Linked DNA regions of Macaca fascicularis. The protein of the gene in region 1 interacts with the protein of each later gene in a pairwise test. Links are inferred from orthologs where the notes say so. Each region holds a gene or a part of one and is shown in the gene's direction. Other genes may lie near its edges. The genes, in order: RAPGEF4 and BMERB1.

Region 1 (3,819 bases):
ATTTAAGCCCAGTTAGTCACTCTCCCCTCCAAAATTTGGATGAAGACCTTACTTCTGTGCAGGCAAAAGGCAATGTTACTTCCGTTTCAAACTTTTTCAATCTGTGTGTTCTAAAATTATAAATTATCCAAAAGAAACATACACCCTCTCTCCTTTCTATTCATATCATTTCACAGCCAGAGGGGCAAGGCAGGGAGGGAAAATGGACCGTGAGCATCCCTCCAAGCTGAGGAATGAAGTATTTTGAAAATGTGAGGAATGGCGGTAGCTTGGGGTCATACATTGACTCATGGCCTCTACTCATTGAGTACAGGACCATTTTGCAGATGAACTAAAGTGGTGGTGAAGCTGGCACTGCCATGGTTCTCACCTTCTGCTGCAGAGCAGAGTTCTGCTCCTAAGCAGAGCAGGCACACCTGCAGCTGCAGGGTCAGGACAGCTCCCAGAAGGGCAGCAGAGAGTCCTGAGTTGGTGGCACAAACTCAGCATAAATTCGCTACAGTGCTGAAGACCATGCAGCATCTTACCACCAACCATAACCACGGATGAGTAGCACCTAGCAAATAAACAATACATGCCAAAATAATGTGAGAATGAACACTGAAGTTCCTCTGAAAAAAAAAGAAGTAAAAAAAGTGCTCTTTTGTGGACTCCAAAATGACCCATTTCAAAACACTGGCTTTCATATAAATATCATACAAATAATTCACCTGCAATTTATTTTGAATTGAAGTTTTATTGTTGTAAAATAGATATCTAATATAAATTTTCCCATTGTAACCATTTTTAAGGGTATAGTTCAGTGGCGTTCATTTCATTTCTGATGCCCGTGCAGTCATTGATTGCCACTATCTATTTCTAAGACTTCTTCTCATGGCCAATTTTGAACTTAGACATGGTGTAACATTTTCTTCTTTGTTCTTCCTCCAGTCCATGAAGCCATGGTCTGGAGATGCTGGTGAAGCAGATGACATAGGGACACACCTTTATTGCTCTTGACAGAATCATGTGCCTTTTGCAGTTCTTGTTAAAAGCCTGTGACTTTTGCCAATTACAGGAGTTTTATGTATCTGTATCAGATGACGCCCGGATGATTGCTGCCCTCAAGGAGCAACTGCCGGAGTTGGAGAAGATTGTCAAGCAAATGTAAGGAGGGGCTTGGCTTTGGGGGTGTGCTTTCATCAAGTAAGTCCCAAAACATCCTTTGCCCACAGGAAAAGTTAAAGCTGGTCTTTCCATAGCCATGCCCTGCTTGATTTGATTTAAGCAGACTGGACCAAGGGCATAGGTGGTGCAGTAAGGCCAGAGGAACAGAAGGACTGAGATTCTGTTCATTCTGTGCTAGAAGGCTGCCAAAAGAAAGCCTGGGAAAGAAAAGATCCTCCTGTGTGGAGTCCAACTCAATAAATGTGGGTCCCTTAGGTTCAAGGCAGTGAATCTGGCAATAACGTGGCCAGCGGCATTTAAAGAAAGTTTGAGGGCAATTACTTATATGGAAAATTCACTGTCTGCTGCCAAAGCTGTTGATGGTGAATATTTGTGTCCTCTCAATGAACCACAAGGTCTTCACATGCTATTACTTGAGCTATAGATTAAATGCAGTATCAGAGAGTGAGTGTGCTGCTAGATAAGACTTTGAAAGCTAGAAATCCTGGCTTTGAACATCGGTTCTGCCAGGAATCTGCCTCTGACAAGAGCTGATATCTTTGCTGTCTACCCTTCTGCTTTGATCTATTACTATTAAAATGAGGAAGTTCATATTGCCTCCTGAAAGGATTCTGTGATTGTGATTTCATTTTCTAACATAAGATTAGTTATATGCAAATAAGGCAATTTAATAGTAGCAATGGTATTAAATAATGTGCTTTCTCTACTTCTCGTAGCTCAGAAGATGCAAAGGCACCACAAAAGAAGGTAAATGGCATGAACTTGAACTCTCTGTCTGTGCCCTGTAGAATTACAATTCCCCAGAAATATTATATTGCAGTATACATAAAAGTGATTTCTTTTTTGTAGACACAAAATATATTGTCTTAATTTCTTGACTCTGCTTGCTTCTCAGATGTGTCTCCTCTGAGTTGCTAGTGTGCATTGGTCACTCTCCCTTATGGCACTTGCTGTGGTTGTTTTTACAGCACAAGGTTCTTTTGCAACAGTTCAATACAGGTGATGAGAGAGCCCAGAAGCGCCAGCCTATCCGTGGCTCTGATGAAGGTGAGAACCCTCTTTCAACTAACTCATAGTTGTATAGATTATTTAGAGTCAGGATAATGGTAAGCATCACCTTGGACCCACAGAATAACTTCTTTTGGAGGTGCCCTGTTGCCCTCCAGATGGTTTGCTTGGAGGTGCCTTTTGGTGGCCTGATGATTTATGTCCTTAAACTCTTCTTGTGCCTGGAGCCGAGGTGCCTGTCTACCCTTCCCTGATTCAGCCTCTCCCTGCTTAACCCCTTTCCTGGGAAGAAATGAAGATGATCTCAGGGTCTGGTTGTCAGGATTGCCCACCCCTGGGAAAAGCTGGTGGGAAGGTAGCCGGCGCCTAGTGGGTGCCTAGGAGACAGTGGATCACCAGCATCCTGCCCAGGGACAATGCTCTGGCCCTGAGCACAGCCCTGAGCATGGAGGCTTTACATCAGGAAGATAAAGATGCTGGCTTTTGTTTGGTTGTTTAAGATTCTCCAAAGAATCACAACCAAAAATAGTCACAAATAATAATGATAAAAATTTCATTTAAAGCTATAAATGAATCTCGTCATTTAGGACTGCCTCTAAACCCAAGAATTACAATACAATAATGGGAATTGCTCCCAGGATTTTTGTGTTCAGAGCTGAGACTCGGGGTGCCATATCCACATCTGCTGATCTAAGTCTGCTGAGCTAAATAGCATCCAAGCTTACGTGGCCTGGCCCCAAAGCACACAAGCCACTGAAGCAAGTGAACAGGAGTATCAGCATGTGCTGATGGCCCAGGCGGAAGCCCTCCTGTGTGCAGAGGTGTGAATGGTGGCTCCCCACCACCACACAGGGTAGCAGTGATCTGTAAATTGCCTACAGTGTAGTACTTCAGACCCTGAACATCAGCCTGAAGACACTCTCCATTTTTTCCCATGACCTATTTGTGGGGTTTCACCAATATCTCTTGTTCTTTTAATTGGACTTGGCAACCATATGTGCACCTATTCTTAGACCAATGCTAAAGTAAGCAGTTTAGAAGGGGCAGGCATGGGGTAAATGAGTATGAATAAATATAGTAATAAAAATGGCAAAATGATGCAAATTGGAGAGGATGCCTAAACATTTTTCATAACTACAGTTTTATTGAAAACTCTTAAGACTGATTTACTACCTTGTTACTGCCTTTGCATAGTTCTGTTTAAGGTCTATTGCATGGACCACACCTACACAACCATTCGGGTGCCAGTGGCCGCCTCGGTGAAGGAAGTCATCAGCGCCGTTGCCGACAAGCTGGGCTCTGGGGAGGGCCTGATCATAGTCAAGATGAGTTCTGGAGGAGGTAACAGCCTTAATTCGCATTTTGGGCTCTGCAAAACAGGACTTTCCATCCAAGCAGAAACTATGTAAGAAGTTAGTGTGGTCATGTGAGGCTCACCCGGAGGATGAACTGGTGCTTATGTATGCTTCCACTAATAACAGAAACAGTATGGGTAGAGGCAGGCTGGGTTTCTAATGTGCCCTATCTTGTAGGTACCCACTCTAAACCAGAAAGGTGACTGGAACTGAGGACTCTTGTGTAGATGCTGGCCTGGAGTTCTTTCAGTTTAAACTCTATTCAAAAAAGTTTTAGGCCTTGGAGCCC
Region 2 (3,819 bases), on another chromosome or scaffold:
ATGCTGCTAGGTGAAAAGAACACGTAATGAAATAGTGAGACCCTAACTTTATATTAGAAAAATAAGACCTGTATCACAGTGGATATATGTATATGTACATAATAGTATATATATTCACATGCATATGTATTAACATTTTAACTGCTAACATTTTAGTGTACTTTTTCAGACTTTAAAAAAGTGTGTCTGGCCAGGCGCGATGGCTCATGCCTGTAATCCTAGCACTTTGGGAGGCTGAGGTGGGCGGATCACAAGGCCAGGAGTTAAGAGATCAGCCTGGCCAACATGATGAAACCCCATCTCAACTAAAAATACAAAAATTAGCCGGGTGTGGTGGTACACACCTGTTATCCCGGCTACTCAGGAGGCTGAGGTAGGAGAATCACTCGAACCTGGGAGGTGAAGGTTGCACTGAGTCAAGATTGTGCCACTGTACTCCAGCCTGGGCGACAGGGTGAGACTCCGTTTCAAAAAGAAAAAAATAAAGTGTGTCTGTGTATAGTATACATATTATATATATACAACCATATATATTCACATATATACATATATATATGTATATGTATGTATGTTCACGCTTGTAATCCCAGCACTTCAGGAGGCCAAGTTGGGGGGATCGCCTGAGGCCAGGAGTTTCAGACCAGCCTGGGCAACAGAGTGTGACACCCCATCTCTACAAAAAGTAAAAATTAAAAAATTACCAAGATGGGCCTGTAGTCCCAGCTACTCGGGAGGCTGAGGCAGGAGAATGGTGTGAATTCAGGAGGCGGAGCTTGCAGTGAGCTGAGATTGCTCCACTGCACTCCAGCCTGGGCGACAGAGCGAGCCTCCGTCTCAAAACAAAAAAGCAAACAAACGAAGTTCCTGTGGAAAACACGTTTTCTGGTTTCCAAAGGGCGTGCTCACGAATACACATTTGCGGCACAGGCTGAAGTCTGTGTGCCCTCAAGGCGTATGACAGTCGCGGAGCAAGGCTGTGCCCTGAAACCATGTCAGGGTGGGTCCCACGGTGCAGCCTCGGGGTCCTGATGCTTGCGTTTCGTGTCTCCTGCACAGATCAGCTGGACATCATCTCCATGGCGGAGACAACCATGATGCCGGAGGAGATTGAGCTGGAGATGGCAAAAATTCAGCGTCTCCGGGAAGTCTTGGTCCGCCGGGAGTCTGAGCTCAGGTTCATGTGAGTGTTTTGGGGATGTGGCCGAGGAAAGACGAGTGTGGAGGAGAGAGGAAAACCTAATCTTTATTGATTGCCTACTGTGTGCCGAGCCCTGAGATAAAGGCATTATGCACGTTTTTAAAAGCCTCATTTGATTCTCGCCACCACCCAGGGAAGTGGCTATTGTCATCTCCTGTTTTAAGCAAGACCCTGAAGTTGGAACTGAATTCAGGCCAATCTGACTCCAAAACCTTTGCTCCATCACCCACGGGGAAGACAGACCCTATGCTGGGGTCTTTGACGAGCACACACTCTGCTCTCAGGCCTGAGTTTTGTTTTTTTTCTTTTTTTTAAGCCTGTCAGCTTGGGCAGGTTACTTGTACTCTCTGAATTTCAGTTCCCTCATTTCTAAAATGGGGGAAAATAACAAGATGGGGTCTCTAGCAACATCAAAGTCATGTGGGTTGAGCGTTCATTAGCTACAGAGTAGGGCATTCCTGAAGAGTTGCAGATAGTCTTTCAAGACAAACTCATTTAAAAAGTGGGCTCTGAGTGTGTGGTGGTGCGCACCTGTGGTCCCAGCTGCTCAGGAGGCTGAGGTGGGAGGACTGTTTGAGTCCTGGAGTTCAAGGCTGCAGTGAGCTATGATTGCATCACCACACTCCAGTTTGGGTGACAGAGGGAGACCCTGTCTCTAAAAAGTACAAATTAAGGCCAGGCACAGTGGCTCACACCTGTAATCACAGCACCTTGGAAGGCTGAGGCGGGATGATCGCTTGAGCCCAGGAGTTCAAGACCAGACAGGGCAATGTAGCCAGACCCTGTCTCTATAAAAAATAAAATTAGCTGTGTGTGGCTGGCGTGTGGTTGTGTGTGCCTTTGTCCCAGCTACTCAGGAGGCCGAGGTGGGGGGATCGGTTGAGCCCAGGGGCTCAAGGCTGCAGTGAGCTATGATCATACCATTGCACTCCAACCTGGGAGACACAGCAAGACCCTGTCACTAAAAGAAAAAATTTAAAAATACAAAAAATATAAAAATCCATCAAATTAAAATGAAAAAATTGGGCTTTTGCAGACAAACAGTGAGAGGTTACAAGCAAAACCAAACCAAACCAGAGGTTAAGAGGCAACCTGGCTGGAAAATTCCCTGTGCTGCCTGTCAGCACCCCACCCACGCTCCACTGGAGGCAGCAGGAACATCAAACCTTCTAGGCAGGCATTAAGCCCCGCCCCTATTCTTTCACTGATTTTTCACAGCACCAAGAGGCTGAGTCTGTGATCATCCCATTTTGCAGATGAGGAGACTGAGGCTTGAAGAAATCAAACAACCTGCTCAAGGCCTCCCAGCTAGTAAATGGGGAGTTAGGGTTCAGACCCAGCTCTTTCTGCCTTTAAAACACGTATTCTTTATAAATTTTTAGTTACTTATTTAGAGAGAGGCTCTTGGTCTGTCGCCCAGGGTGGAATGCAGTGAGGCCATCGTAGCTCATTACAGCCTCGAACTTCTGAAAGCCCATCCTCTCACTAGGACATTATATGACCTTCCCTCTCCCTGCATAAAATGAATTGCAATATTCACAGCTGTCATTTATCCAGCCCTTTGCATGTGCCCGACCCTGAGCTAAATGCTTCCCATGCATAATTCCTTCTCAGAGACATCTCTGAGGAAGGTTCTAGAACATTTGCACTTTATGGCTAAGAAGTATCTTCCCTTTTGTCTGGAAATAAAAATGATACGTGAGCATTCAGAAACAATCCCTTCCTCCCTGTGTTTTAAAAGGAAGACAGAGGCCAGGTGTGGTGGCTTACATCTATAATCCTAGCACTTTGAGAGGCTGAGGCAGGTAGACCACTTGAGGCCAGGAGTTCGAGACCAGCCTGGCCAACAGGGCAAAACCCCATCTCTAGTGAAAATACAAAAAATTTAGCCACGTGTGGTGGCGTGCGCCTATAATCCCAGCTACTTGGGAGGCTGAGGCACAAGAATCGTTTGAAACTGGGAGGCGGAGGCTACAGCAAGCTGAGATTGTACTACTTCACTGCAGCCTGGGCAACAGAGTGAGAAACTATCTCAAAATAATAATAATAAAATAAAGTAAAAGGAAGACAGAGAACATGAGTCTTGCTTTTAAGTACTCAAGATCCCTTTGTTTAAAAAAAAATACAAAAATACAAAAAATTTAAAAATACAAATAGGAATTAAAAATTTTTAAAATATGTATTTATTTTTATTTACCTAATGGTGCTGCTGCAGGAACAATGGTTACCCCTGTACATTTACTGACCTTTACTGTGTGCACGTGTGTGTGTGGGTGGGTGGATGTGCATGTGTGGATGTGTGTGTGGATATTTGTGTGGATGTGTGGATGTGTGTGTGGATGTTTGTGTGTGGGTGTCTGGATGTGTGTATGTGTGTGTGTGGGTGTGGGTGTGGATCTGTGCGCGTGTGTGTGTGAGGATATGTGTGTGCATGTGTGTGTGTGGATGTGTGGGTGTGTGGATGTGTGCATGCGTGTTTGTGGACGTGTGTGTGGGGATATGTGTGTGCGTGTGTGAATGTGTGTGTGGGTGTGGATGCGTGCGTGTGTGGATGTGTGGATGTGTGTGTGAATGTGTGGATATGTGGATGTGTGGATGTGTGGATATGTGTGTGGATTTGT

What was found.
Region 2: the proteins of RAPGEF4 (region 1) and BMERB1 interact in binary tests that used the Homo sapiens proteins (3 or more experiments, as listed by UniProt). The link is inferred for Macaca fascicularis from reciprocal best matches to the Homo sapiens genes RAPGEF4 and BMERB1.

What each region holds. Positions count from the first base shown.
Region 1 is NC_088386.1:68,547,974-68,551,792, forward strand, and holds part of RAPGEF4 (rap guanine nucleotide exchange factor 4), read left to right. Parts: intron 1-1,057; coding exon 1,058-1,146; intron 1,147-1,883; coding exon 1,884-1,914; intron 1,915-2,135; coding exon 2,136-2,214; intron 2,215-3,369; coding exon 3,370-3,516; intron 3,517-3,819.
Region 2 is NC_088394.1:15,810,176-15,813,994, forward strand, and holds part of BMERB1 (bMERB domain-containing protein 1), read left to right. Parts: intron 1-1,056; coding exon 1,057-1,180; intron 1,181-3,819.